Linked DNA regions of Anolis sagrei. The protein of the gene in region 2 interacts with the protein of the main gene of each other region in a pairwise test. Links are inferred from orthologs where the notes say so. Each region holds a gene or a part of one and is shown on either strand. Other genes may lie near its edges. The genes, in order: AGGF1 and MAB21L3.

Region 1 (13,013 bases), about 98 Mb from region 2:
CTAAAACATATCTTAAATCAGAGCCATTTTTTTGCCATCATTGAATCAAGGGGACCCCATTTGGGGTTGATACCCACAGCTTAAGTGCCTTAAATGAATCTGTCAAATTCATCAATTTTATAAAAAGGCAAATCACTGAATTAAAGACTTTTTGAGCAACTTCCCAAAGATATGCACAGTGAACACCACTAACTTTTACTATACTATGAAGTTTGTTTGCTATAGTTAGCTAAAGTTTTGTTGCATTTGTATTCTTCATGGAGCAGCAATTTCGCCTTAGCAATCGCTTGACAGATTTTGGTTTTTAAATTAGCATATCTGTCACATATTTTCAGTCTTTAAATAGACCCAAATATTCATGGGAAAAACTTATAGTTTCTAAAGTGAAGACAAGATTGAAGCAATGATATAAAAATGGAATTGTCCATCACCTATTGAGCCGAAACTATGAGACATTTCCAAACCTCAGAAAAGTATTGGTTCCACTGCCAAAAGTTGTCTGAGAAGGATATATCACTTATCACTTCGCATTTGAAAGTTTTGCAACATAGCTTCCATGAATATTTGTCTGTTTCTGATGCAAGTACAAACCTGATTCAAGATCCATATTCAGTTAATGTATGTGAATGAGATGGGATCACAGCAACAGAGGACAAGCTAATAGAAATATTCACGGATGGTGCTCCCTAATTGCAATTCAAGCACCAGTCCCTTCCAAATTTCTGGGCTCACTTACAAGCAGATATTCCAGTGCCATCAAAGAGGCTTAGGGAAGTATTGATGCTTTTTGAAATGATATGCTTACATGAAAAATAATTTTTGGTCCTTATTTTACAAATACATAAACATAAAATCATTTGAAAAACATAGGATCAGAATTCACAATACAAGTTTCAAAAAGCCTGCAAGTGAAATGCAACAGAATAGGATGGACAAGAAACCTCTTCCAGAAAATTAGAAACATTGGAGGTAAATTTCAGGCAAAAATGGGCATGATCAAAAACAAAGATGGCAGGGACCTAACAGAAGCTGAAGAGATCAAGAGAAGTTGATGAGACTATTCAGAAGTATAATAATATTGAGGAGAGCTTTGATAGTGTGGTGAGTGAATTAGAACTAGACATCCTGAGGAGTAAAGTTGAATGGGCCTTTAAGAAGCATTGCTAATTATGAGGCAGCAGGAGCCTTATAACCAAGATAAAAAAAAGAAAATGCAAAAGCTGAGTTGCAGTTAAACATAAAAAACCAAGATTATGACAACCAGAATGATTGATAACTGGCAAATAAAGGCAGTGGCAGACTTTGTATTTCTAGACGTGAAGATTACTGCAGATGCAAACTGCAGCCAGGAAATCTGAAGACATTTACTTCTTAGGAGGAGAGCAATGACCAATCTCGATAAAATAATGAAGAGTAGAGACATCACACTTGAAACAAAGATCCTCATAGTTAAAGCAATGGTATTCCCCATGGTAACCTATGGATGTGAGAGCTGGACCATAAGGAAGGCTGAGCAAAGGAAGATAGATACTTTTGAACTGTGGTGCTGGAGGAAAATTCTGAGAGTGCCTTGGACCGGAAGATCAAACCAGTCCATACTCCAGGAAATAAAGCCTGACTGCTCAGTTGAGGGAAGGATATTAGAGGCAAAGATGAAGTACTCTGGCCACATAATGAGAAGACAGGAAAGCTTTGAGAAGACAATGATGCTGGGGAAAATGGAAGAGAAAAGGAGGGGCAGACCAAAGGCAAGATGGATGGATGGCATCCTTGAAGTGACTGGCTTGACTTTGAAGGGGGGTGGCCATGGCCAACAGGGAGCTCTGGTGAGGGCTAGTCCATGAGGTCATGAAGAGTTGGAGGCGACTGAACAAATAACAACAACATTTTTTAATTTTTAGCAAATTGTTCCAGGTAAAATATTATAACACTAATGTGAGAACTTACTTCTTTCTCTGGTCTCTCCAAATCTGATGAACAACTTTAAATAAATATTTGATGCACTTTAAGCTTTCAAATCATGAGTGGACTGCAGCAACTAGATATTTTAAGGGGGACCTTGGTAAAAAAAAAAAAAGGTTATAAACTGTTGATTTAGGCTAAAGAATTCTGGAGAAATTGAAACTTTGTACACATGAGTGGTAATTTGGCTGGTCCCAATAGAGGCATTCTCAAACTAAGCCTCTTTGGCGGGAGTCTGCAGCCAAAAAAGTGTAAAAATATTCAAAAGAACTTATGAATGTAACAGCTATACTAATCAACGACTTACATTAAATTCTGATTGAAATGAACTTATTGCAAAATGGAATGTTGTTGTGTTGTTCAAGTCATTGCTAACTTGTGGGAACACTTGGGCAAACCTAATATAGTGTTTTCTTGACAATATTTATTCAGAAGTGGTTCCTTTGCTTTCATCAGAAGTTCGAAAGTGTGATTTGGTAAATCATTGTGCGGCTTGGTAAATCGTTGTGCAGCACCCTGCATTGTCCTCTTGCCATCCCACAGTGAAATCCATCTGTCCCCAGCTTGCTCCTGCCTTGTCCTCGATTTGTTCTATGAGAACGCAGGTAGTCTCCTGTGTTCTCAGAACTGGCGCTTAGCATGCTGCGTGCACAGAGCTGGCATGGAGCCTCACTGGAAACAGTCATGCATCATGTAATGGGCTCCATTGGGCTCTGTCCTGTCTGCATCTCAGCAGCATCTTAGGACAGTACTGAAAGCCCATGTGATGAGGATGAATGAAAGTCAGTCTCCTGAGGATATCCAGGTATTTAGAAATATCAGACACAAACTGTGCCTTGATAAAGTCTGTATTGTTCTGTCTGCTTTTCATTGAACTGTCTGGGCTTGCATGACCCTCTTCATTGTTTCAGAGGCTGACTCCTTTTGTGCATTATTTATATAATTACCCTATCACAGACTCTTTGCATTGCCTTAATCCATGTGATTAGCTCAGCCTGGGCAAACTATTTGAAATGCTCTGTCTTCAAATGAACAAATGACAGCTCTCTATTCTTCACACCATGGGGGAAACTCCATCCATCTCTGATGCCAGCAGGAGTCCCCAGCCAATGAAAGCCCAGATCCTAACTTGACCATTTTTGAGCCAATCAGGGGGGGGGGGGGAGCTGGTCTTTTGATTGGCGAGTTTTAAAAACTTTTATCACAGGGAATAAAATGTCTTGCACTACCTTGCATGGGTATGTTTTAGAGTGGAGACTCTGAAAGACATCCTTTCAGGCCTGAAAGTTAATAAACTTATGTCTATTGCCTTCATACCACTTGCCTTTACTACTTACTCAGCATCTGGCTGTCAAAGTAGCAATGTGCACCAGACAATAGATCCACACCACTCCTTTGCAGCCAGCTTAATTTCGACTTCAATCATACCATTAACAATGGGAGCAACGTTTCAAAAATTATAAAATTATTAATTAATTAATCATACATAGTGTAATTTTGGAAGTTGAGAAGGAAATTAGCTGCAGGTAGTATTTTACCAGAATTTTTAAAAATTAGTTAACTACAGAAATATAAACCATTTTACCTCAAATATGTCGACAGTAAAATTCATTGATTAGTCCACTGACCATATCAACAGTAAAGGACAAAAAACAAGAAAATACACAAATACGTCAATATTTATACAACCTATGGGAGACATAAATAACTATTTGCAACTGCCAGGTTGGAATGCAGAGAACACAAACTTAGCTTGAAAACCAACCAATCAAACCTGAGTTGATGGAAGGTGCATCTACAACACTGTTGAATTAATGCAGTTTCACACCAGTTTAACTGCCATTGCTCCATGCTATGGAATAATATGAGTTGCAGTTTGGTGAGGCACCATCACTCTTTGGCAGAGAAAAATAAAGATCTTGTGAAACTACAGCTCCCAGGATTCCAGAGCATTGAACCATGGCAGTTAAAGTGCTGTCAAACTGCATTAATTCTTCAGTGTAGATACAACCTGATTTCTGCCTGACAGTTGCAGATCTTAAGCCCCTATTACTTCTGCAGGTGGGGAAGAAAATAATATAGTATTTAAAAAAATATTTTTGTTAACATTTTCTAATTAATAAAATCATTAAGTAAGTAAGAAGAGAAAAAGAAAATCATATGGTCTTGAAAACCCTGCAAAACAATAGCTTCAGAAACACCCTTATCTCCCTCCTTTTTGCATCTTTCAAAGTAGTTTGTTATTTTGCAACAGGAAAATATCACGCAAAACTTCTTTTTCTTAAAGAAAAGGTCCTAGTGTGAAGTCAGAGGCCTTGCTAGAATGCAAATCAAGATTTCACCATCACAGTTAATAGTCCCCTATCACCACCTACTGGAGATTAATGGAAGAACTAAGACGTTTGAAACAAAAAATCCATAACTTTGTAAAAAAAAAAAAATGAAATACAGGTTATTTATTTATTTATTTATTTAGAAGTTTTATATACCGGTCTTCTCACCTCGAACGAGGGACTTAGGCCAGTTCACAACATGTGTTCAAATACAATAATATACAAAAACAACACAATGCATCATCATTACAGATTAAAATATAAGTACAGTAAAAAACATCATCATCACATTACCCAAGCCGAATCGTCAATACAGTCACAGTCACAGTTCATCATCCTCCTTCCATGTGGACGAAGGTTATAGATTCAGTCCTCAAATGCCACATTCCAAAGCCAGGTCTTTATTAGTTTCCTGAAGGTCAGGAGGGAGGGAGCTGATCTAATCTCTAGTGGGAGGGAGTTCCAAAGCCGAGGAGCCACCACCGAGAAGGCCCTGTCCCTCGTCCCCACCAAACGTGATTGCGAAGGTGGTGGGACCAAGAGCAGGGCCCCTCCGGAAGATCTTAATAACCTTGATGGTTGCATCTACATGGCAGAATTAATGTAGTTTGACACCACTTGAATTGCCATGGCTCCATGCTATGGAATCGTGGGAGTTTGGTGAGGAACCTGTAGTCTTGGACAGGGAAGGTTAAAGTACTTGTGAAACTACAACCACCAGGGTTCCATAGCATTGAGCCATGACAGTTCAAGTGGTGTCAAACTGCACTAATTCTGCAGTGTAGATCATGCATAGGTAAACATGGGCTGTCAACACCGTTTCAAGCATTCAGGACTTTGGCTCCCAGAAGTCTCAGCCAAGTAGGCCAACGATGAGGAATTCTGGGAGTTGAAGTCCAAAACACCTGGAGGGCCAAAATTTGCCCACGCCTGGAAATCCTTTGGCTCATTTCAAGTGTTTAGGACTTCAACACAGTTCTGGAATTCACTCCCCGGAGAAATTAGGCAAGCGCCCACCCTGGCAGCATTCAGGAAGAGCCTGTTCCAGACTTGGCTGTTCCAGTGTGCCTTCAACCCCATTGTTTTGTCCCACCTGAACTTCCTTCCAGATACACTACACTGCTCATCTCACCCAGCGTTTTTAAACGTTGTAATCTTTGCAACTGGCCTTGCCCATTGTGCCTAATTATTGTGATTTTATATTGCATTGTGTGTTTACTCTGTATTGTTTTTTGCATTATTATTTTCATTATAATTTATTGCTGTATTTTTATGTTATATATTTGCTTTGTTGTTGTTGGGCTTGACCTCATGTAAGTTGCCCCGAGTTCCCTTGGGGAGATGGTGGCAGGGTATAAATAAAGTATTATTATTATTAACACCCAGAAGCCTCAGCTAAGTAGGCCAACAGTGAGGAATTCTGGGCGCTGAAGTCCAAAACACCTGGAGGGCCAAAGTTTGCCCATGTCTGGCAATCCTTTGGCCCTTTCAAGTGTTTAGAACTTTGACTCCCAGAAGCCTCAGCCAGGTAGGCCAACAGTGAGGAATTCTGGGAGCTGAAGTCCAAAGCATCGGGGGGGGGGGGGGGTTGTTTGCCCATGTCTGGCAATCCTTTGGCCCTTTCAAGTGTTTAGGACTTCGGCTCCCAGAAGCCTCAGCCAAGTAGGTCAACAGTGAGGAATTCTGGGAGCTGAAGTCCAAAACACCTGGAGGGCCAAAATTTGCCCACACCTGACAATCCTTTGGTCATTTCACGTGTTTAGGACTTCAGCTGCCAGAAGGCTCAGCCAAGTAGGTCAACGGTGAGCAATTCTGGGAGTTGAAGTCCAAAACATCTGGAGGGCCAAAGTTTGCCCATATCTGGCAATCCTTTGGCTTGTTCAATTGTTTAGGACTTCAACTCCCAGAAGCCTCAGCTAAGTAGGCCAATAGCGAGGAATTCTGGGAGCTGTAGTCCAAAACATCTGGAGAGCCAAAGTTTGCCCACGCCTGGCAATCCAAGTAGGCCACCAGTTTTATCTACTCAATCCATTTTGGACTTGGCAATCCTTTGGCTTGTTTTAAGAGTTTAGGACTTCAACTCCCAGAAGCCTCAGCTAAGTAGGCCTTCTGGGAGCTGAAGTCCAAAACATATGGAGAGCCAAAGTTTGCCCACGCCTGGCAATCCTTGGCCGGACTTCAACTCCCAGAAGCCTCAGCCCAGTAGGCCAACGGTGAGGAATTCTGGGAGTTGAAGTCCAAAACTCTAGGGAAAGAGTTTAAACTGACAGACGCTCCCCGCATGACGTCTACGCCTCTGCCTAACGTCACTTCCTCCTTGGCTAGGAGCAACATCCGGGGCTTGTGGTGGTCCTCAAGAAAGTTTTCAGAGTCAAGTGGCGCTTGTTTATTTTCCGGCAAGGAAAGCGGCGGAAGAGGGGAGGGAACCCTTGGGCCCGCCCCCTCCCACCCTCTCGCGCGGCCGTTGCCATGGCAGCGCCGAGGGGCGTTGGAGGCGGAGGCCTGTTCCCTTCTTGCCGCGCCTCCTCCTCCTCCTTCTCCCGGCCGCTGCGTCTCAGTCCGGCTCGCTGAGGAGGCCTCTGCTTCCGCCCCTTCAAGAGAAGGCAGCCACAAGAATGGCAGACGAGCTGGAGACGCTGCGAGAGGAAGTGGCTGCGCTGGAGGCCGAGGTGGGCGCCTGTCGGAGCCGCCTGGAGCGGGAGAAGAAGCGCCGCCTCAAGGCCCAAGCTGCTGCGGCCAAGTGGAGGAGACAGGTACCAGCTCCACCAGGCATGGACCAACTTGGGCCCGCCCTCCAGGTGTTTTGGACTTCAACTCCCACCATTCCTAACACCCTCAGGCCCTTTCCTTTTCCGCTTAAGCAGCTGAGGGGGAAAAGGAAGGGGCCTGAGGCTGTTAGGAATGGTGGGAGTTGAAGTCCAAAACACCTGGAGGGCTGAAGTTTGCTTATGCCTGTTCTAGCGCCTATAAAACTAACAGAGAGAAAGAAATTGTAGCATACTTTCAAAATTTTTTATTGATTTATGTGCACACAGGGAACAAAACCGACACCAGAGAAAAAAACCCCAAAAAACAAAACAAAATACAACCCCCCCCCCCCCAGAAAAAAAGATATACCCACAAGCACTTTACCAGAACCAATGATTGCTGCACATTGCACATCGCACTTGCCCTAAAAACCCTTTATGCACCTCCTGTCAAATCAGCACTTTTAATCCTTGTACCCACCTTTTGGCCCAGCCCAGTTTTACTGTGTTTTAATGTACTGTGCTTGTTGTTTATTTTTGCTTTAATTTGTTTTAATTGTTTGATTTGCTTGATTGTATTGTTATGTTGTATTGTTGTGGCCTCGGCCTGTTGTAAGCCGCATCGAATCCTCTGGGAGATGTTAGCAGGGTACAAATAAAGTTTAATAATAATAATAATAATATACAAAAGAGTATGCAAGTTTACAGAATGGTATACAGTCAGTGCTCATTAAGCATATGAAAAATCAACTTCGACTGTACAGTTATACCTTAACATTTATTGTCCCTCTAACCAGTGTTTCTCAACCTGGGGGTCGGGACCCCTGGCGGGGTTGCCAGGGAGTGTCAGAGGAGTCGCCAAAGACCATCAGAAAACACAGTATTTTCTGTTGGTCATGGGGGTTCTGTGTGGGAAGTTTGGTCCAATTCAATTGTTAGTGGGGTTCAGTATGCTCTTAGAGTGTAGGTGAACTATAAATCCCAGCAACTACAACTCAAATGTCAAGGTCTATTTTCCCCAAACTCTACAATTGTTTACATTTGGGTATATTGAGTGTTCATGTAAAGTTTGGTCCAGACCCACCATTGTTTGAGTCCACAGTGCTCTCTGGATGTAGGTGAACTACAACTCCAAACTCAACGTCGATGCCCACCAAACACTTCCCGTGTTTTCTGTTGGCCATGGTAGTTTTGTGTGTCAGGTGTGGTTCAATTCCGTCATTGCTGGAGTTCAGAATGCTCTTTGATTGTAGATGAACTATAAATCCCAGCAACTACAACTCCCAAATGACAAAATCAATCCCCCCCAACCCCACCCCAATCCAATTTTGGGCATATTGAGTATTTGTGCCAAATTTGGTCCAGTGAATGAAAATACATCCTGCTTATCAGATAATTGCATTACAATTAATAATAGGAGGAAAATTACAATTATGAAGTAGCAAAATAATGTTATGGTTGGGGGTCACCACAACATGAGGAAATGTATTAAGGGGTCGCGGCATTAGGAAGGTTGAGAAACACTGCTCTAACCCCACACCCATGAACCCAACCTCCATGACCTCCGACACCACTCAGTATGGATCCCATAACTAACCCACAGCTACCCACATAATAATAATAATAATAATCATCATCATCATCATCATCATCTTTATTTATACCCTACCACCATCTCCCCAATGGCGACTTGGAGTGGCTTACATGGGGCCAAGCCCTTCCACATGCACAATGGAGGACCTTCTCACAGTGACACTAGAAGCACTCCAAGTGGTCAGCTTCTGGTCATAGGAAATTTAGTTTTTAACTTTGTTTGTGGCTTTTTTAAAATATACATTATAACTGTAATCTCAATTTGCTTCTGACATGATAAATAAAAATTACCATGGCTCAGTGCTATGGAATCTTGGCCATTGTAGTTTTACAAGTTCTTCTCTGCCAAGGAGTGATGGTGCTTCAACAAACTAAAAATCCTGGATAAGTCACACACTCTCAGAAAACCCCATGATAAGTTAGAAATGACTTGAAGGCACACAATCACAACAACAAACTGTTGCATAACCACCCCTTCCTCTTCCTCCTCTAGCATAGCTTCCCTCAGTAATGTTCCTATTCTGGGGGGGAAAACCATTCTGCTCTGTTTTTGCCTTGCCCAGAGTGCTCTGTTGGATTAATTTAGGTCAGAAGTGGCCAGTGGCATATCCCATCTTCCCACATAACATGGCCAATGGCCAAGGATTGTGGGAGTTACTATTCCGGCATCTGGAGAACAGATTTCCTTCATCTGATGAGTAAAAAGAACAGATCTGTAAAAATTGCTTTCTATTTTATATCTTTTACATTTATCATATCTTGCCATTTCTTCAAGGAAACTTACAGAAGCATACATGTTTCCAGATCTTGCCCTGTCCTACAACTACCATACCTTGTGAGATAGGTTAGGATAAGGGAACTTGACATCCAAGAATTAAGCCACGTTGGGTCCCATATGAGTGAAATTTGGAATATAAATTAAAATAATTAAATAAAATATATTAACTATATGATTAAATAGAGTTGTGTATTTGGGCTTCCTGCTTTTGGTGTTCTAGCTATTGCATTGTAGGGCAGTGGCCATATAGGCAAGGCATCTGTTTGTTACTCTGCAGTTTATTCCAGTTTCTTGTGTTTTGCCCTCATCCTGTCTGTCTCCAACCTGGTCACCAACTCCACTCATGTCATGTAGCCGTTTTTTGAAAAAATGAAATGCTAGTGCCTGTCTGAAAGCTTTTATCTTGGTGGAGATTACTTGGGGTTTTGTAGTAGTTTCTTATTTGTGACGTGAAGGAAAACTCTTTATTTGTTTTTGCTCGTCAAATTCCAGGACTAGGGGTTAGCGAGCAGGTTCCAAGTATAAATTCTAGTGAAGACTTAGATCAATTCATATTTGTACCCTTAAAGTCAACCTGCCAATTTCTGTCACCCATTTCCTTGTTAGTGTATGTACCTAATACCTTTCTATGTCCTCCCTCAGATTTTGAATTCTTCCATTCTTCAGTTTGTCATCTTTCCTTACGCATGCCATAACATTATCTGGAGAATCCAGAAAATTCCTACAGAGGACCTATATTGTTCTATGTTGGTATAGTCAAGTGACAGGGATAGTTGTACTGCATATCAGAATTTGCCCTCCTCATTAAATTACCATATACTGATTGCTGACAGCCATGGAGGGCCCAGAGATAGCACTTGTCCCCTTTTCACCCATGGTCATATTTGTGAAACTAGCAGTTATGTACTGATATACATGACTTTGTAAGGTTTCGACATAGCAAGTAGGTGGAGAATTGTACTTCCTTGACCAACAAGTCTTTGTTTTTATGCATAAAAAGTATGTACACCACCACTGATGTCTTTAAAGTGTTCCTGCCAGTCTTTCTGATTTTCCCTCATCCAGCTTCTAAATACGTTTTTTTTTTTAGGTTGAAGAACTGAATAAGAAAATCAGTGAGAGCAAAGGAAACAAGAAGGCAACATGCACTGTAGAAGTACAGACAGAAGATGTTTCATCATGGTCAGATTCAGGTAGCTAGCCAATGGTGCGACTTAATGAAGTACTCATGGTTTGCTCAGTAACCTTAAACTTGTAGCTTTGTTTCCTAATGTACATATGTAACAGAAATAACTAAATTAATTCTGCTGCTCTATTATGGGAATGCCAGTATTCAGAACATTCTGCCATATTGGTTTTTCCTGGCTGATTTAATTGTGTTCTATAGTAGTCCTTGTTTTCATGTAATCCTACAGTTTGGTAAAATGTTAATTTAAATCTTGATGTAAAGAATCAAGGTTGGATTGATGTAATATCCTCAGTGTGGGACTACATTTGAAACTACAGTGGCAAAGAGGCTTATGTATGTGTTCTTATTGCTTTTCCATGTGCCCAGCTGATGATAAGAGACAAGGTCTTCTCACTGACTGCACAAGTATTGTGGAACATTTTGCCCTATGATGTAAGAGTAGCTTCATAAACTGAATGTCTTTTGCTCACAAGTTTTTTCCTGCTCTGTGTTTGTTTTGTTTACAGATTGTTTTATCTGTGACCCTGATCTCTAAAATCATAGAATCATAGAATATTTTTATTATAAAATAGAAAGGGGAAACCAATTGGTGTATTTCAGTATGAACTTTTGTGGATTGCAGACCAGTTCTTTGGGCATATGAGGAAGTGTATTGAATGTGTAATGTGTTAGGTTGTTAACTGTTTCTATACTGTAGCACTGAATTTTTGCTGTTTGTATTTGTTGTATTTGTTGTGAACCGCTGTGAGTCACCTTCGGGCTGAGAACAGCGGTATATAAGTAAGGTAAATAAATAAATAAATAAAGCTACAAAAGCTCAGTTAGTTTAACAGACTGTTTCCCCATTCATCTTTCCTTTTTATGCTGCAGTACAGCTATATTGTTTTTGAATTTTTATTTGATCCATTCTTTTATATTGTGATTTAAAATCTTGTGATCTATTTGTACTATTTTATTTTTATAGAAATGAAATATTATATAATTTATATAAAATACGGCTAATTTTACATTTATTTTGCAGATTACTACTACCATAATTATAATAGTTCTGATCCTCATGATTTACCCAGTATACCAGTGCAGTCAGATAATACAGAATCAAACTACAAATGTGCAGATGAGTTACAGTTAAGTGATCATTCACATGTAAATGGCACAAAGCATGATGAGCAAGGGAAACATGACTGTATAATCCACAATGATCAGGTGAGCTGCATTTTGTTATTATATTTCTGATCTGTTTTGCCGTCAAGATGTTGATGTGTACATTTATCATGTATTATTTTTATGATAGCCCTATGTTTGTAGTATAAAAGAGGATCCATGAAAAACTAGCTAAGTAGGCATTATTGAACCTGCATGTACTTACCCAATGCAAATATTCTTTTCAAAAAAATACTATGGTTCTTGTTATTTCATATGTTCTCATATACAATGTGATCCTACTTTATGTTGCTGTAGTCAACAATGCAATTTTTGATGAAGAAAAAGGTTGAATTCTTCAGATAGTTGTATTGATTTTTTTTCATCCATGCTGCATCAGCAGTATAGAATAAGGCCATTCTTGGCTCCTGGTGCTTCGTAAAAAAGAGCTTTATTGATTAATTATTAATTTCATATAGTACTGTATTTTAATATTATAATTGAGATGGGGTGAACATCTAACTCCTGTGGACAAAATGCATAAGATAGTCTATTATAGTAGTTAAGAGTGCTAAGTGAAGCTGGATCCCAGGTCCATCAGGGTCTTAAAAGACAACCTTGGGAATAGCAGTATTTTTGGCATGCTGTTTCCCATCTATGATAGCTATATTTTCTAGTACTCTTATGGTAGGAAACAACAAATTGTAAAATATTCTGTGCTTCACCAAGTTGTCATTCATGTTGTATTTCTTTTTTAGAAATCAGAAGATCTTTTGTTAACAGAAGGTACATTAGCAGAAAGTCTAAGAGCTGCTGCAGAAGCTGCTGTATCACAAACAGGATTCATATATGATGAAAGCACTGGATTATACTATGACCATAGCACTGGATTTTATTATAATTCGGTAAATATTTAATTTATTACTTTGTGAAATAAATACATTTTACTAACAAATATAAGCTAATTGGATTTATTAAAAACAGTTCTTGTAACAAATATTTTGTGAATGGCTTTTTCTTGAAGTAATAGGCAATGCTAAGAAAACAAAAATAATGCTCACCAAAATGAAATATCCACTTTCTAAGGCACTAGATAACTTCATACAAATTGGCACAAGAGTAGTAATAACAAGGGTCTGGAACAGTACAAAGGCCTTCAACTGGAAACCTGATACTAAAATTTTGATACATTGCCTTAGTGAAAACATTAATTTCTCAAGTAGGATTTGGATAGGTACAATTTTGTACTGAAGTTGTGAAGGCCATTC
Region 2 (12,863 bases):
CCTATCACAAGTTGCGCATAAGGCCTGAGGACAGATGGAAAACGGCGTTTGCCTGTGCGCTGGGCCATTTTGAATATTTAATTTGTCCGTTCGGGCTCAAAGGCTCTGGATCAGCATTTATGCAAATGATTAATGAGGTGCTACACCCATTATTGTATCGCGGGGTGTTTTGTTTTGTGGATGATGTAATTGTGTTTACCCGGGATAGACGATCTCATGTCAAATTGGTGAGAGAGGTACTCCAGAAATTGAGGGAGGCAAAGCTGTTTGCAAAGCTATCAAAATGTGAGTTCAATAAGGAACAGATAGACTTCCTGGGGTACCGGATATCCAAGGGAGGGATAGCAATGGATCCGGCAAAGGTGGAGGACGTCAGGGGGTGGAGCCCTCCCCAAACGCGCAAACAGTTGCAATCATTCCTCGGATTTGCAAATTTCTACCGGGGGTTCATAGAGGACTTTGCGCAGATAACATTGCCCTTAACTGAACTGCTCAAAACAAAGGGAAAGGGGGAAACGGTGAAAGTGCGATCCCCGGGGGCGAAACTAAATTGGTCAGCAGAGTGCCAAAAAGCTTTTGAAGAACTGAAATGCAGGTTCACTGAGGAACCAGTGTTAATCCACCCCGATTTGACCAAGCCATTCATAATCCATTGTGATGCATCAGATTGGGCTTACGGGGCGGCCCTGATGCAAAGAGACCCAGAAGGGAGGTTGAAACCCTGCGGGTTCATCTCAAAAAAGTTCGGCGAAACCGAACGAAACTGGCCGGTGTGGGAGAAGGAGGCTCTGTCAGTGGTGAGGGCTCTAGAAACGTGGAGGCACCTACTAGAGGGAAGCGGCATCCCCTTTGAAGTGTGGACCGACCATAAAAACTTACAATACCTCACCTCACCCAGGCAACTGTCAGCAAAACAAATAAGATGGGCTCAGTATTTCAGTAGATTCGATTTTAAGCTGCGTTTCCAAAAGGGGAAACAAAATGTGGTCGCAGACACGTTGTCGAGAATGCCGGAGGATGAAGGGAGGGGGCGAAGCCCGAAGGGGAGCATATTCTCAGAACGGCAGTGGGGCATGGCAGTGCAAACACGAGCGCAAACGGAACGCAGCCAGAGGCTGGTGGGGGTTGAGAGCAGAGACGGAGGATGGGAGGAGGAGATAAGGCAGGCATGCAGGGAGGATGAGTGGCTGGAAAGAAACAAGGAAAAGGTGGAATGGAAGAATGGGTTGGGATTTGTACATAGAAAGTTATACATCCCAGGCAACCTGAGGGAAAAAATGATGGTCAGATGCCACGGCAGTAAGGGAGCGGGACACTGGGGAGTAACGAAAACCCTAAAAATGTTGGCACGTCAGTGTTGGTGGCCAGGGATGAGGAATGACACCAAAATGTATGTATCCCGGTGCGATGCGTGTGCACAGAGTAAGACAACCCCACAAAAACCAACGGGGTTATTGCAAAAGGTGGCAGAACCATCACAACCGTGGAGGGTAATTGCTATGGACTTTGTGGGCGAACTCCCAGTTAGCCGAGGTCAACGTTACATATGGACGGTAATGGATCTGTTCTCAAAGCAAGCGCATTTCATAGCGCTACCTAAATTACCATCTGCAGAGAAATTGGCTGAGCTATTTATCAAACACATCTATCGGTTACATGGTTGTCCAGACCAGGTGATTAGTGACCGAGGGGTGCGATTTACGGCCCGGTTCTGGGAAGAGTTCATGCAGTTGATGGGGGTGGAACGGACCCTGAGTTCAGCGTTCCATCCCATGACCAATGGGGGGGTCGAACGCACGCAACAAACCTTGGGGCTGTTCCTAAGGACATACACAAACCAATGCCAAACCGATTGGGCCGATTTACTCCCGTTTGCAGAAATTGCGTATAATGGAGCCTGTCACGCATCCACAGGGAAATCCCCCTTTGAAATAGTGTACGGCATGGAAGTAACCCCTTTACCCAAACTGCCGAGTTGGGGGGAAGAGCTGGGGGGAAAGGAAGGATGGCCTGACAAAATGAAGGCGAACTGGGAGGAGGTGGCAAAATCACTACGAGAGGCCCAACGAAAATATAAACTGTTTGCAGATCGAAAGAGGAGGGAAGGTGATAAGTTGGAGGAGGGGGATTTAGTATGGCTGAGCACAAAAAACCTCAAGCTAAATACCCCCTCTCGGAAATTGTCTCCCAAATATATTGGTCCCTTTAGGATTTCTAGCAAAATAAATGAAGTGACATATACTCTGAAACTCCCTAAGACATTGGGGAAGGTACATCCGACATTCCATTGTAATTTGCTAAAGAAATACCAAGGCCCACTAGACAAAGAAGGGACATAATGGTGACGTATATTTCCCTTCCAGGAAGAAGAAGAGGTGGAGGGGGACATTATGTCAGGACTCGGTTTCCTGGCCTTGGACGTTGGCGCAAAAAACCGGATTCCTGACATGGAGAACTGATAAGGAATTGCAGCTGGTGGCCTTGGGAGGGCCGTTGGTGGTTTGGCGGGGAATATTGCGCGGGATCTTTGTCAGGCGGGAAGAGGGGATTCGAATGTGAGGGAGGGTATATAAGAGTTGACTTGCGTCCGTGTGCCAATCCTGGCTTTCATTGTGTATATGCATCCAGTAGTAAAAGTTTCCTGATTGATTACGGATTGGCGTCCTGTGTCCTTTCTGGGAGCGGCTGCTGTGAGCTTACATATGTGTACACTGTAATCCGCCCTGAGTCCCCTGCGGGGTGAGAAGGGTGGAATATAAAAGCTGTAAATAACAAAATAATAATAAATATATACATATGCCTCTAGAACATGGCCATATAATATATATATACATACTAGCTGTGCCCTGCCACGCGTTGCTGTGGCCTATAGTAAAACTTATCAAAGTTGAGGTAGATATCTGGACTATTATGAAAGAGAGGTCCCTACCTATTCCTTCCCCCTTTTCCTCCCCCTTTCTCTACTTTCTTCCTTCTCTACCTCTTTCTTTCTTTCCTTCTTTCACTACTTGGTTTCATCCTTCTCTCTTTCCTTCATTCCCTCCCCCTTTCTTCCTTTGCCTTTCTTCCCGCCCTGTTTGCTTCCTTCTTCCACTTTTTATTTCCTTTTATTTCACCACCATCATAACAATAACAATAATGCAATGCATTGCCTCTGGGACCTGACACCTCTCCCATTCCCCCTAAAAGGGTCTCATAGGAACAATAGCATCATCATCATAATAATAGAAATAACAACCTTTACCCGCCACATGTTGCTGTGGCCAATCTTCCCTCTTTCTCTCCTTCTTTCCCTCCCTCCCTCCCTCCTTCCTTCCTTCCTTCCCATCTTTCCTTCTCCTCTTCTTTCTCTATCTCTTTCCTTCCTTCCCCCTTTTTCTTTCTCTTCTGCTGTCTCTCTTTTCTTTCCTTCCATCTTTCCTTTTCTTTCCTTTTCTTCTTCCTCTAACTTTCCTTCCTTCCCCCTTTTTCTTTACCTTCCTTTCTCTTTCTTCCTTCTTTCCTTCCTTCCTGTCTTTCCTAGATTTTGACAGGGCGGGAAGGGGCGGGGTGGGGTTTGGAGGTGGCCTGAAGTAAAAGGAGGTAAGATTGGGGCAGGGGAGTGATGGAGCGTGGGGTTGCGTGTGTGTGTGCGGCGGCGGGGGGGAGTGGGGTTGCGTGTGTGTGCGGCGGTGGGGGGAGTGATGGAGCCTGGGGTTGCGTGTGTGTGTGCGGCGGCGGGGGGAGTGATGGAGCGTGGGGTTGCGTGTGTGTGTGTGCGGCAGGGGGTGTGTGTGTGCGGGAAGCGGCGCGGTGGGGCTTGGAGTGGGCATGGTTTCCGCAGAGGGAACGTTGGCCGGAAGGCCATGTGCGCGCGCGATGGAACTTGCGGCTGGGCGCCAATGCGCATACTCAGTTGTTTTGCCGTTTTGTGAGTGTGTTGTGTTGTTTTTCATTTTGAGTAGATATGTTTGTACCTTGTGGGTTGTGTTATGGGCATGGGAATTTTGGTTAAGTTTCGTTGGGGTTTTCTTGAGTTTTGTTCTTTTGCTGTTTTGTGAGTGTGTTGCTGTGTTGTTTTTCATTTTGAGTAGATATGTTTGTACCTTGTGGGTTGTGTTATGGGCACGGGGATTTTAGTTAAGTTTCGTTGGGGGATTTTTGAGTTTTGCTGTTTTGCCGTTTTGTGAGTGTGTTGTTGTGTTGTTTTCATTTTGAGTAGATATGTTTGTACCTTGTGGGTTGTGTTATGGGCATGGGGATTTTAGTTAAGTTTCGTTGGGGGATTTTTGAGTTTTGTTGTTTTGCCGTTTTGTGAGTGTGTTGTTGTGTTGTTTTTCATTTTGAGTAGGTATGTTTGTACCTTGTGGGTTGTGTTATGGGCATGGGAATTTTGGTTAAGTTTCGTTGGGGGGTTTTTGCGTTTTGTTTCCTCGTTGGATGCCCCTAACAAATTTATATATATAGATGCCTCTAGAACATGGCCATGGCCCAAAAAAACCTACAACAACCCACTAATAACACAATTTTTGGAAAGAAAAGGAAATAAATAAATAAATATTGGCATGTGACAGCCCATTTCAAACTCAATACTTCCATGGCTGCTTTTAGCAGAAATAAAAAGACACTGAATACACTCATGCACTACATGTTTAACCTGACCTTTCTGGTATGCTGAACAGGGCAGGCAAAACAATAACACCTCATTTAGTCCAGAATCGATGTGTCCTCAATTACATGTTGGGTGTTTGCCAGTTCTCTACTTGTTTACCTTTGCAACTGTCTCTATGCCAAGCTAGAGCCAATATCAGTCAACATAATTTATCAGATGACTTCCCAAGTTACCTCTACACACTAAGTCCCAAAAGAGTGGATAGCTTTTCTCTTTGATTCCCCAAGACATTCGCATAATTCAGGCAGGTGCCCCATGGATGCCTCTCTCACTTTGTTTTTAGCAATAGCCAAATAAATGATGGCAGTAAGCACATCACTCTCACATAAAAAGAAAAGCTGCAAAAGGAAAGAGTGCTGTGTATGCAGTCCAATAATATGACCTACCCAGTTCCCATCTACTCCAGATGCACAACTGTTCAGAAGGAAGATGTTGATGGATTTTCAGCGCTCTCCAATAAGGGAAGAGAAGCCAAACACTGTAAAGCAAACGGGAAGGATTGCAGCTGTCAACTATCCTAGGAATATCAAACAATTAAAATCTGCAGCATTATTTGAGGTCATCCTTTTCTGAATAACTTTAGATGCATGACCATGAATGGAAAAAGGGAGATGACCTAAGAGATCAGAATCTGCACCAACAGCACCGTTATTGGCTGCATGGAGGAAGGAATCAATCCAGAGCTTTCCAAACACTTCATTTTTGGTGACACACTAAGACATCCATCGTTTCATGACATGGTAATTCAGTTTTACTAGCAAACTTAATAATAATAATCATCATCATCTTTATTTCTACTCCGCCACCATCTCCCCGATGGGGACTCAGAGTGGCTTACATGGGGCCAAGCCCAGACAAAATAATATTTATTTATTTATTTACAGTTTTTATATTCCGCCCTTCTCACCCCGTAGGGGACTCAGGCCAGATTACAGAAGTTCTTCCGCATTCCACATTCCCCGGAGTCTTTTCTTTATGGCCACATAAATTAGTTAATTTAGCCTCCCACACAAGGTGGTACCTTATTTTCCTACTTGACAGATGCAACTGTCTTTCGGGTTGCAAAGGTTGACAACAGGCTACACAATGGCTGGACACCCACTCCAACCTGGGCTGGCTTCGAACTCATGACCTTTTGGTCAGAGTGATCTTAATGCAGCTGACACTCAGCCAGCTGCGCCACAATCCCGGTGCATACAGCAATAAAATCAAAGCATATACATCAGACAACAACAACATTATCAAAATGACATTAAAATAATAATAGTAATAATAAAATAAAATAAAATAAAAATTATGTTAAATCAACTCCCTTATAAGAGATGACATATGCATAAATTGTAAAAATATTTATTTGTCGTGTCAGAGCAACCAGTCCATTATATATTACATTTCTAACAGAACAAGCAAACAGACAGAAAAATACACAACTAGTGAGTTTGGTAGTTGGTTAAATGTCCTTTGACCAGTATCTGGCCACTTGGAGTGCCTCTGGTGTTGCCGCAAGAAGGTCCTCCATTGTGCATGTGGCAGGGCTCAGGTTGCATTGCAGCAGGTGGTCAATGGTTTGCTCTTCTCCACACTTGCATGCCGAGGATTCCACTTTGTAGCCCCATTTCTGAAGGTTGGCTCTGCATCTCGTGGTGCCAGAGCGCAGTCTGTTCAGCGCCTTCCAAGTCGCCCAGTCCTCTGTGTGCCCAGGGGGGAGTCTCTCATTTGGTATCAGCCATTGGTTGAGGTGCTGGGTTTGGGCCTGCCACTTTTGGACTCTCGCTTGCTGAGGTGTTCCAGCGAGTGTCTCTGTAGATCTTAGAAAACTATGTCTAGATTTAAGTCGTTGGCGTGCTGGCTGATATCCAAACAGGGGATGAGCTGGAGATGTCTCTGCCTTGGTCCTTTCACTATTGGCTGCTACTTTTACTATTTCTTTACTATTTTTACTAAAAATTTTTTTACTATTTTTACTATTTTACTATTTTTACTATTGTAAAAATGAAATGGAACCTATCTCGCTAAAATATTTCATTTATATGTTTAAAAATGTATGATGAATTTCACATAGACACAGAGGATTTTCATTACATTTGCGCAACACACCTACAGACCTCAACCAGCGCGCTAACATATTGCAACACCATTTGAAAATCTGTGAATCTTTATCCTTAAAGCAGAGTCTTCAACCTACCAGGCCCCTACAGATACAGAGTACAAAACACAAAACACTGTCTCATGAACAAGGAACAGTTTCAAGATCACTTAACTTTTGCCCAGATTAGTTGATGGAGACAATAAATCTGTATCAGGACCAAGCCCAATTGCTTTTAGTGACGCACTTTTCTCCAGGACACCAAGCCCTGCCAGTCTCTTGTGACATTATAACAACACAATGGGGAAAAGATTGCCAATGGAACACACTGCAAAGCTGTTTGCTTGTTTGTTTTGAAGTGGCCTTTTGTAGTTTGGAATATACCGCCTATGTCCCTGTCATTGTGATGCAAACCTTTTGCGAAAAGCCACTCGCTCTTGTTCGATTGATAAAAGGCCCGATCAATTATTTCCACTTTCAGAACAATTTATGTTGTGTATGTGGGCTTATTTGGGCAGCTGGCAGCTAACAAGCGGCAGCTTAGTGTGTGTTTACAGTCAAGAAAGCAAAGCCAACTGCAGGCAAGGCCCAAGTGGTGTGGCATTTACTGTCAATATATCAGGAAAGAGAAAGAAGTGATAAGGAGCGATTGGGAGAAGGACTGGGAGGAAGTTGGATAATTTGCAAACTTTCTGGGCTGAACAAACAATATGCATGGTGATCATGAAATTTTGATTTTTGAAGTGCAAATGGGATTTTAAATGCTCTGATTTAAAATTAAAGAATCTAACTTTCTAACTGTCTCTATTACTTATGTGAAGGCTCAAAAGGAAAAGCAAACAAATGTGGGGGAAAAATTGGGAATGTTAAGTGGGGTTGAAAATTGAAATGCAGGACCCAAGGAAGAATTCCATTCGTACTTCTTCATTTGCAGGAAAAGGAAGCATTTTTGAGGTGGAGTTGAATATACTGGGATTGTTATCCCTGCAGAAACATCAGAAGTCTTTCTCTGGAGAAACACGGAGCATCAGTTCTTACCATGAAGCAACTCACTGAAGAAGCTATAGAGCAATACATTCAGAGTAAGGTAAGGATGCTCCTTTTGTCTTTTGGAACTGGATTTTGTTTTCAAACCCTCAAAGAAGGAATCTTCAGATTATGGCCTTGGAATTTTACTTGAGCCCCAAGTCCAAGAATATGTACAAATATGCTACCTATTATCAGTATGTACAAATATATTACCTGTAGCATGCAGGCCCATAGCCAGGATTTCGTTTCGGGAGGGGGGGTGTGTGATTTTTTTTCAGGGGGGTTTCGGGGGGGGGGCTGAGTTGGGAGGGCTGAGTCTGAGTGAAAGAGGGTCTACCCTAGCAAACCTTTTGTATCATTACGCCAATACCCCCCATGCATATGGGATATATTGAGTATGGTGATCAGATCATGATATGAATAAACATAACAGTTTAAATAATGCACCAATAAGGCCTTTTCGCGAACCACCATGACAAATTTTTTTGGGGGGGGGGGCTGAAGCCCCTCGAGGCCCCCCCCCCCCCCCCAGCTACATGCCTGGTAGCATGTGGACTGGAGATGTTGCAAGAAAGTAATATAACTGCTGGGTTATATCTGCAGGTGGATGTGAGGCACCGAGTGGTCTCCAAAATTGTGGATGAAGTGCAGAAAATCATACAGCGGCTAACCACAGATATTAGCAACAAGGATCCCCGTTTCCAAGCAATTTCCAACTCTGGCATTCATAATGAGAACATGAAGGTAAGAGTGGAGGTTCTTTTGCCAGTGTATGTGTTCAGTGAATGAGTAATTGAGTCAATGCTCAGATCCATTCAAGGGTAAAACCATACTTTACATCATTATTATCATTACTATTAATATATTTTGTCTGTTTTTTCCCTTAAAGCTAGGGAAAATATTTTAAAAATCTCTTTAAGAAACAACAACAACACAGTACAATTAAAGCAATATAGCATACTGTTAAGAGCCCTTTCTTTTAAATCCTCGTTTTAAAACTCCTGTTGGAATAGAGAAGTCTTTCCCAGCTAAATGAAGGACAGCAAAGGGGTTTATTCTAACTTCCTTAGAAAGTTGTTCCAAAATCTAGAGAAAGATACCTTATAGGCTCAGTACCTATGGTGGAATGGACAAAAGATCCTCTCCTGAGGAACCCAGTACCTGGGGAGGATCAGATGGAAAGATATAGCTATATGAGTCATTACCAGTATTTACCAAAATTGTGCCCAGAAATTGATCAACAGCTTGTGGACCTGTTGCAGTAAGGAAGTTGCATGAACCCTGTGACCAATCCTAATGAACAATCTAGTCGCAACACTTTGGGCAACCTGAAGCTTGGAACATGTTACAATAATCCAGACAGATGTTGCGTGGCCAGATCAGCCACAGGTGGAATGTTAGAACTGGCCCAGGACTTCAACCCATGTATTTCAGGCTCCATTTCCATCCGCTTTGGAAACAGAGCTCCACAGGAGTCCCATGGAGGTCATCACAGGGTGAGACTTTGTGGGTCTTCCTTTGGAAATGAAGCCTGAAATCCCCAAATAAGAAAGTGACAGAAAGCAGGCGGTGGAGGGGTATGGACCTCAATACAGGAGGGACGAGGGATGGCTGGCCATCTCAGAAGATGGCAAAAGACAGGAGGGAAAGGGGTAATTCTGTTCCCTTCACTTTCCCTCACTTTCCCCCCACTGGTGGGATGAGGTCCCCAGTTTGTGCATCTCTCTGTTTGCTTCTGCAAAACTACAGTGCAGCAGCCTTAATGAGACATATGCAGGATTGGGCTGTGGGCAGCATTCATAAAAGAACCAGGAGCCAAGGAAGGAATATATTCCATGCATCTAATAAAGTAGATCCAGTCTGTGAAAGCTTCTGCTACAAACGTATGTATTTCAGGTTGTGTTCAAAGATTCACTTTGTACACATACTCCAGTAGTATATGATAGATGCATACATCTATCATATTATATGGAAGTGCTATAAACATATAAGTGCTATAAACCAGTTGCTTCCAAATGGGAAGCATTCAAGCAGGATATGAGTACAAGAACACTCCTGCTCATGTGTGCCACCATGCTGTCTCAGTGTCAGGATCCTATGTCTAGGATCCACCATAGTTTAAAGGGTGTGTTGCCTTTGACTGCTAAATCTGCTAAACCTTATTAGCTTCTCTGTGAGAATGTCATGGGAGATCTTATCAAGGGCCTTACTGAAATCAGGATATGCTACATCCACAACATTCCCTTCATCTACCAAGCTTTGCTTCCTTCCCATCACTCAGCTTCATTATATTATAATGGGGGTGGGAAGAAGCTTCCCTGATGACATTTTTTCCTCTATGTATTTTGTCTCTATGGAAGCCAGGGCTTATATAGGAGAGAAGGGTATGCTGAGAATCAAGTACTTTGAGGGAGCACAGCTAATTCCTGCAGCCTATGAAACAGGAGTGTGAACACAATTGCCCTTCCCTATTTCTCAGTATGAGAAGTAGAAGAAGCCAGGTCAGGATGGGTAGTGTATTTAATCTGGGAAGCAGAAGATGCAAGAGCTGTATTCTGAAATCCATCTTTCTTCTCTGCATTCCTGGTATTGAACTGTGCAGTGCTGTTTGGGATGTCATGTGGAAGTGGGATCTCGTTGTGTGTTAGCCAGGAGTGTCTGTCTGTTGGAGTGGGAAAGTCTAAATGAAGTTCAACAACATTGCTCCCCCAAAAACACACTAATTGGGTAAGTTCTGCTTGGAAGCTAAAGAATGGTAGGGTATCACTGTTTCTGCTTTCAGGCTGGATTTGGCTCACATTTCAATTCCAAACCTGCATTTCCAGAATGACGTCTTGTCGGAACCACCTTACAGTAACATTTTGGTAAATGTAAGAGGGTTTTGAGCTTTAAGGGACGCATTTCAAATTTTCAGACATAGCTGTACATAGGATGTAGTAATGTGCCTGCTTTCCGTCTCTACCAACCTATTCCTTTCTCACCTGAACAGCAGACAGATGAGGCAAAGAGAGGAGATGAGAAAGATAAAGGACTGGCAGGGTAGGCAGAGTTCACATGAAAGCAACAAGTAGCTTGATTCAGAACATGGCAGGATTGCATAGTGTGTTGCTTCATGCCTTGGGCTAGTTTGAAAAAGTCATACCTCAGAGTTACAGATTTTCTTGGGCATCACTTCAATTAGAAATGTGCATTAACACTTGTTGCTTGATTACTTTGCTCACTAATCACTTTTTTGCCTCTGTTGTATCTCTTGTTTCCCTTTTTGCCTCTGTCAGGATCAGCCAGCCTTACTGGCCAAATGGTCATCTCTACTTCAGGGGAAGCGCCCCTTCCATCCATCCATCCAGGTACAAACACCTTGCATGGATTTTGCCCCAGTTCCCTCATTTCTGTTTTCTGTTTTCAACGATACCTCATTAGATGGACATCACATTCTTCCTGAAATGTGTGTTGAAAGCAGAAACATAGTTTCTAATTTGCCTGCCACCTTAGTAAACCGCATGCCCTGTTTAATTCATAACATGCAATTGAAGACTGCTTTCTTTATTTACTCACAACTAGGTCTGATACAGATAAGGCTCGCTGTGCAAAGGCAGAGGAAGTTAAAAACACCCTCCCTAGGTTTTTCCTGAATCCTCCTTTCACTGGCACCAGTGGAACCCTTCCCTTCTTTTTAAGCCCTCACATATGAAGAACAGAGCATGAGAGTTGTGGATGCAGATGTATGGCTTTAAATCTGTGAGGTTTAAAGGTCTACTGACCTTCTTCTTCAGCTACCCTTAGACAGTGAAATTTCTGTCAGAAAGGACTAAACATCTGAATACGCTATAAAAATAAAACAGCACTATAGATCAATTCCTTTTTAGGCAAGCCCACCCAAATGATTTTTAGTGTATGAGTTTTAAATTATGAGTTTTAAACATTGGACTGTAATTATAAAACTGTATGTTCTTTTAAAGCAGGGGTCCTCAAACTACGGCCCGCGGGCCACTTCTGGCCCGCCAAGGGCACTTATCCGGTCTGGGAAGGAGGAGCGCCCCTCCCTTGGCTGGCTCACGTTGCCCCTCGGGCCTGACGGATAGCGTGAGCCAGCCAAGCCGCGCGGGGCTGCTCCTCCCTTGGCAGGCTCACGCTATCTGTCAGGCCCGATGGGCAGCGTGAGCCAGCCAAGGGCAGCTGCTCCGCGTGGCGTACTTGCGCGTAAAGCACCTCGCGAGATGCTTTACACGTGAGTAGGCCGCGCGGGGCTGCTCCTCCCTTGGCAGGCTCATGCTGCCCATTGGGCCCGATGGGCAGCGTGAGCCAGCCAAGGGAGGCTGCCCCGGCGCTCCATGCAGTCATGCCGGCCACATGATCTTGGAGGTGTCTACGGACAACGCCGGCTCTGACTTAGAAATGCAGATGAGCACCACACTCCAGAGTCAGACACGACTGGACTTCATGTCAGAGGAAAACCTTTAACTAGGAAAATTGTGCAAGATCCAGGGTGGGAGAAAGAGCTCTTGTCTGTTGGAGGTAGGTGTGAATGTTTCAATTGGCCACCTTGATTACCATTTCATAGCCTGACAGTTTTTAGGGAGAATCCTTTTTTGAGAGGTGATTAGCGGCCCTGATTGTTTCTTGTCTGGAGTTCCCCTGTGTTTGAGTGTTGTTCTTTATTTACAGTTATAATTTTAGATTATTTTTTTTAATACTGGTAGCCAGATTTTGTTCAGACTAGAAATAGGAAGATTTCCCACTCTCTGCTCCTGGAATTACTGCCTAAAGAGGGCTAGAATAAAACCCCTCTAAGGCCTCTTCCACACAGCAAAATAAGATATGTGCAATGTGCATAGGATTTTTTTATTGATTTTCTTTTTTAAAAAAACTATAGTCCAGCCCTCCAACGGTCTGAGGGACAGTGAACTGGCCCCCGGTTTAAAAAGTTTGAGGACCCCTGTTTTAAAGTGATCATAAAACCAGTGTTTTAACTGATGTTAGTTTTAAACTGATATTGTGTATGATTATTTTAATCTGTTGTTGTTTTCCACCTCAATCCATGGGAAGGGCAGGTAAGAAATCATAATAATAGCCACAATGACTATGTATCAGAGCACA

The links.
Region 1: the proteins of MAB21L3 (region 2) and AGGF1 interact in binary tests that used the Homo sapiens proteins (3 or more experiments, as listed by UniProt). The two-hybrid records come from large-scale screens. The link is inferred for Anolis sagrei from reciprocal best matches to the Homo sapiens genes MAB21L3 and AGGF1.

Annotation. Positions count from the first base shown.
Region 1 is NC_090022.1:264,724,839-264,737,851, forward strand, and holds the start of AGGF1 (angiogenic factor with G patch and FHA domains 1), read left to right. Parts: upstream 1-6,611; 5' UTR 6,612-6,910; coding exon 6,911-7,048; intron 7,049-10,503; coding exon 10,504-10,606; intron 10,607-11,623; coding exon 11,624-11,808; intron 11,809-12,503; coding exon 12,504-12,650; intron 12,651-13,013. UniProt on the Homo sapiens protein: Promotes angiogenesis and the proliferation of endothelial cells. Able to bind to endothelial cells and promote cell proliferation, suggesting that it may act in an autocrine fashion.
Region 2 is NC_090022.1:166,384,761-166,397,623, reverse strand, and holds the start of MAB21L3 (protein mab-21-like 3), read left to right. Parts: upstream 1-7,219; 5' UTR 7,220-7,318; exon of another isoform or gene 7,319-7,454; intron 7,455-7,671; 5' UTR 7,672-7,776; coding exon 7,777-7,824; intron 7,825-8,369; coding exon 8,370-8,510; intron 8,511-11,041; coding exon 11,042-11,113; intron 11,114-12,863.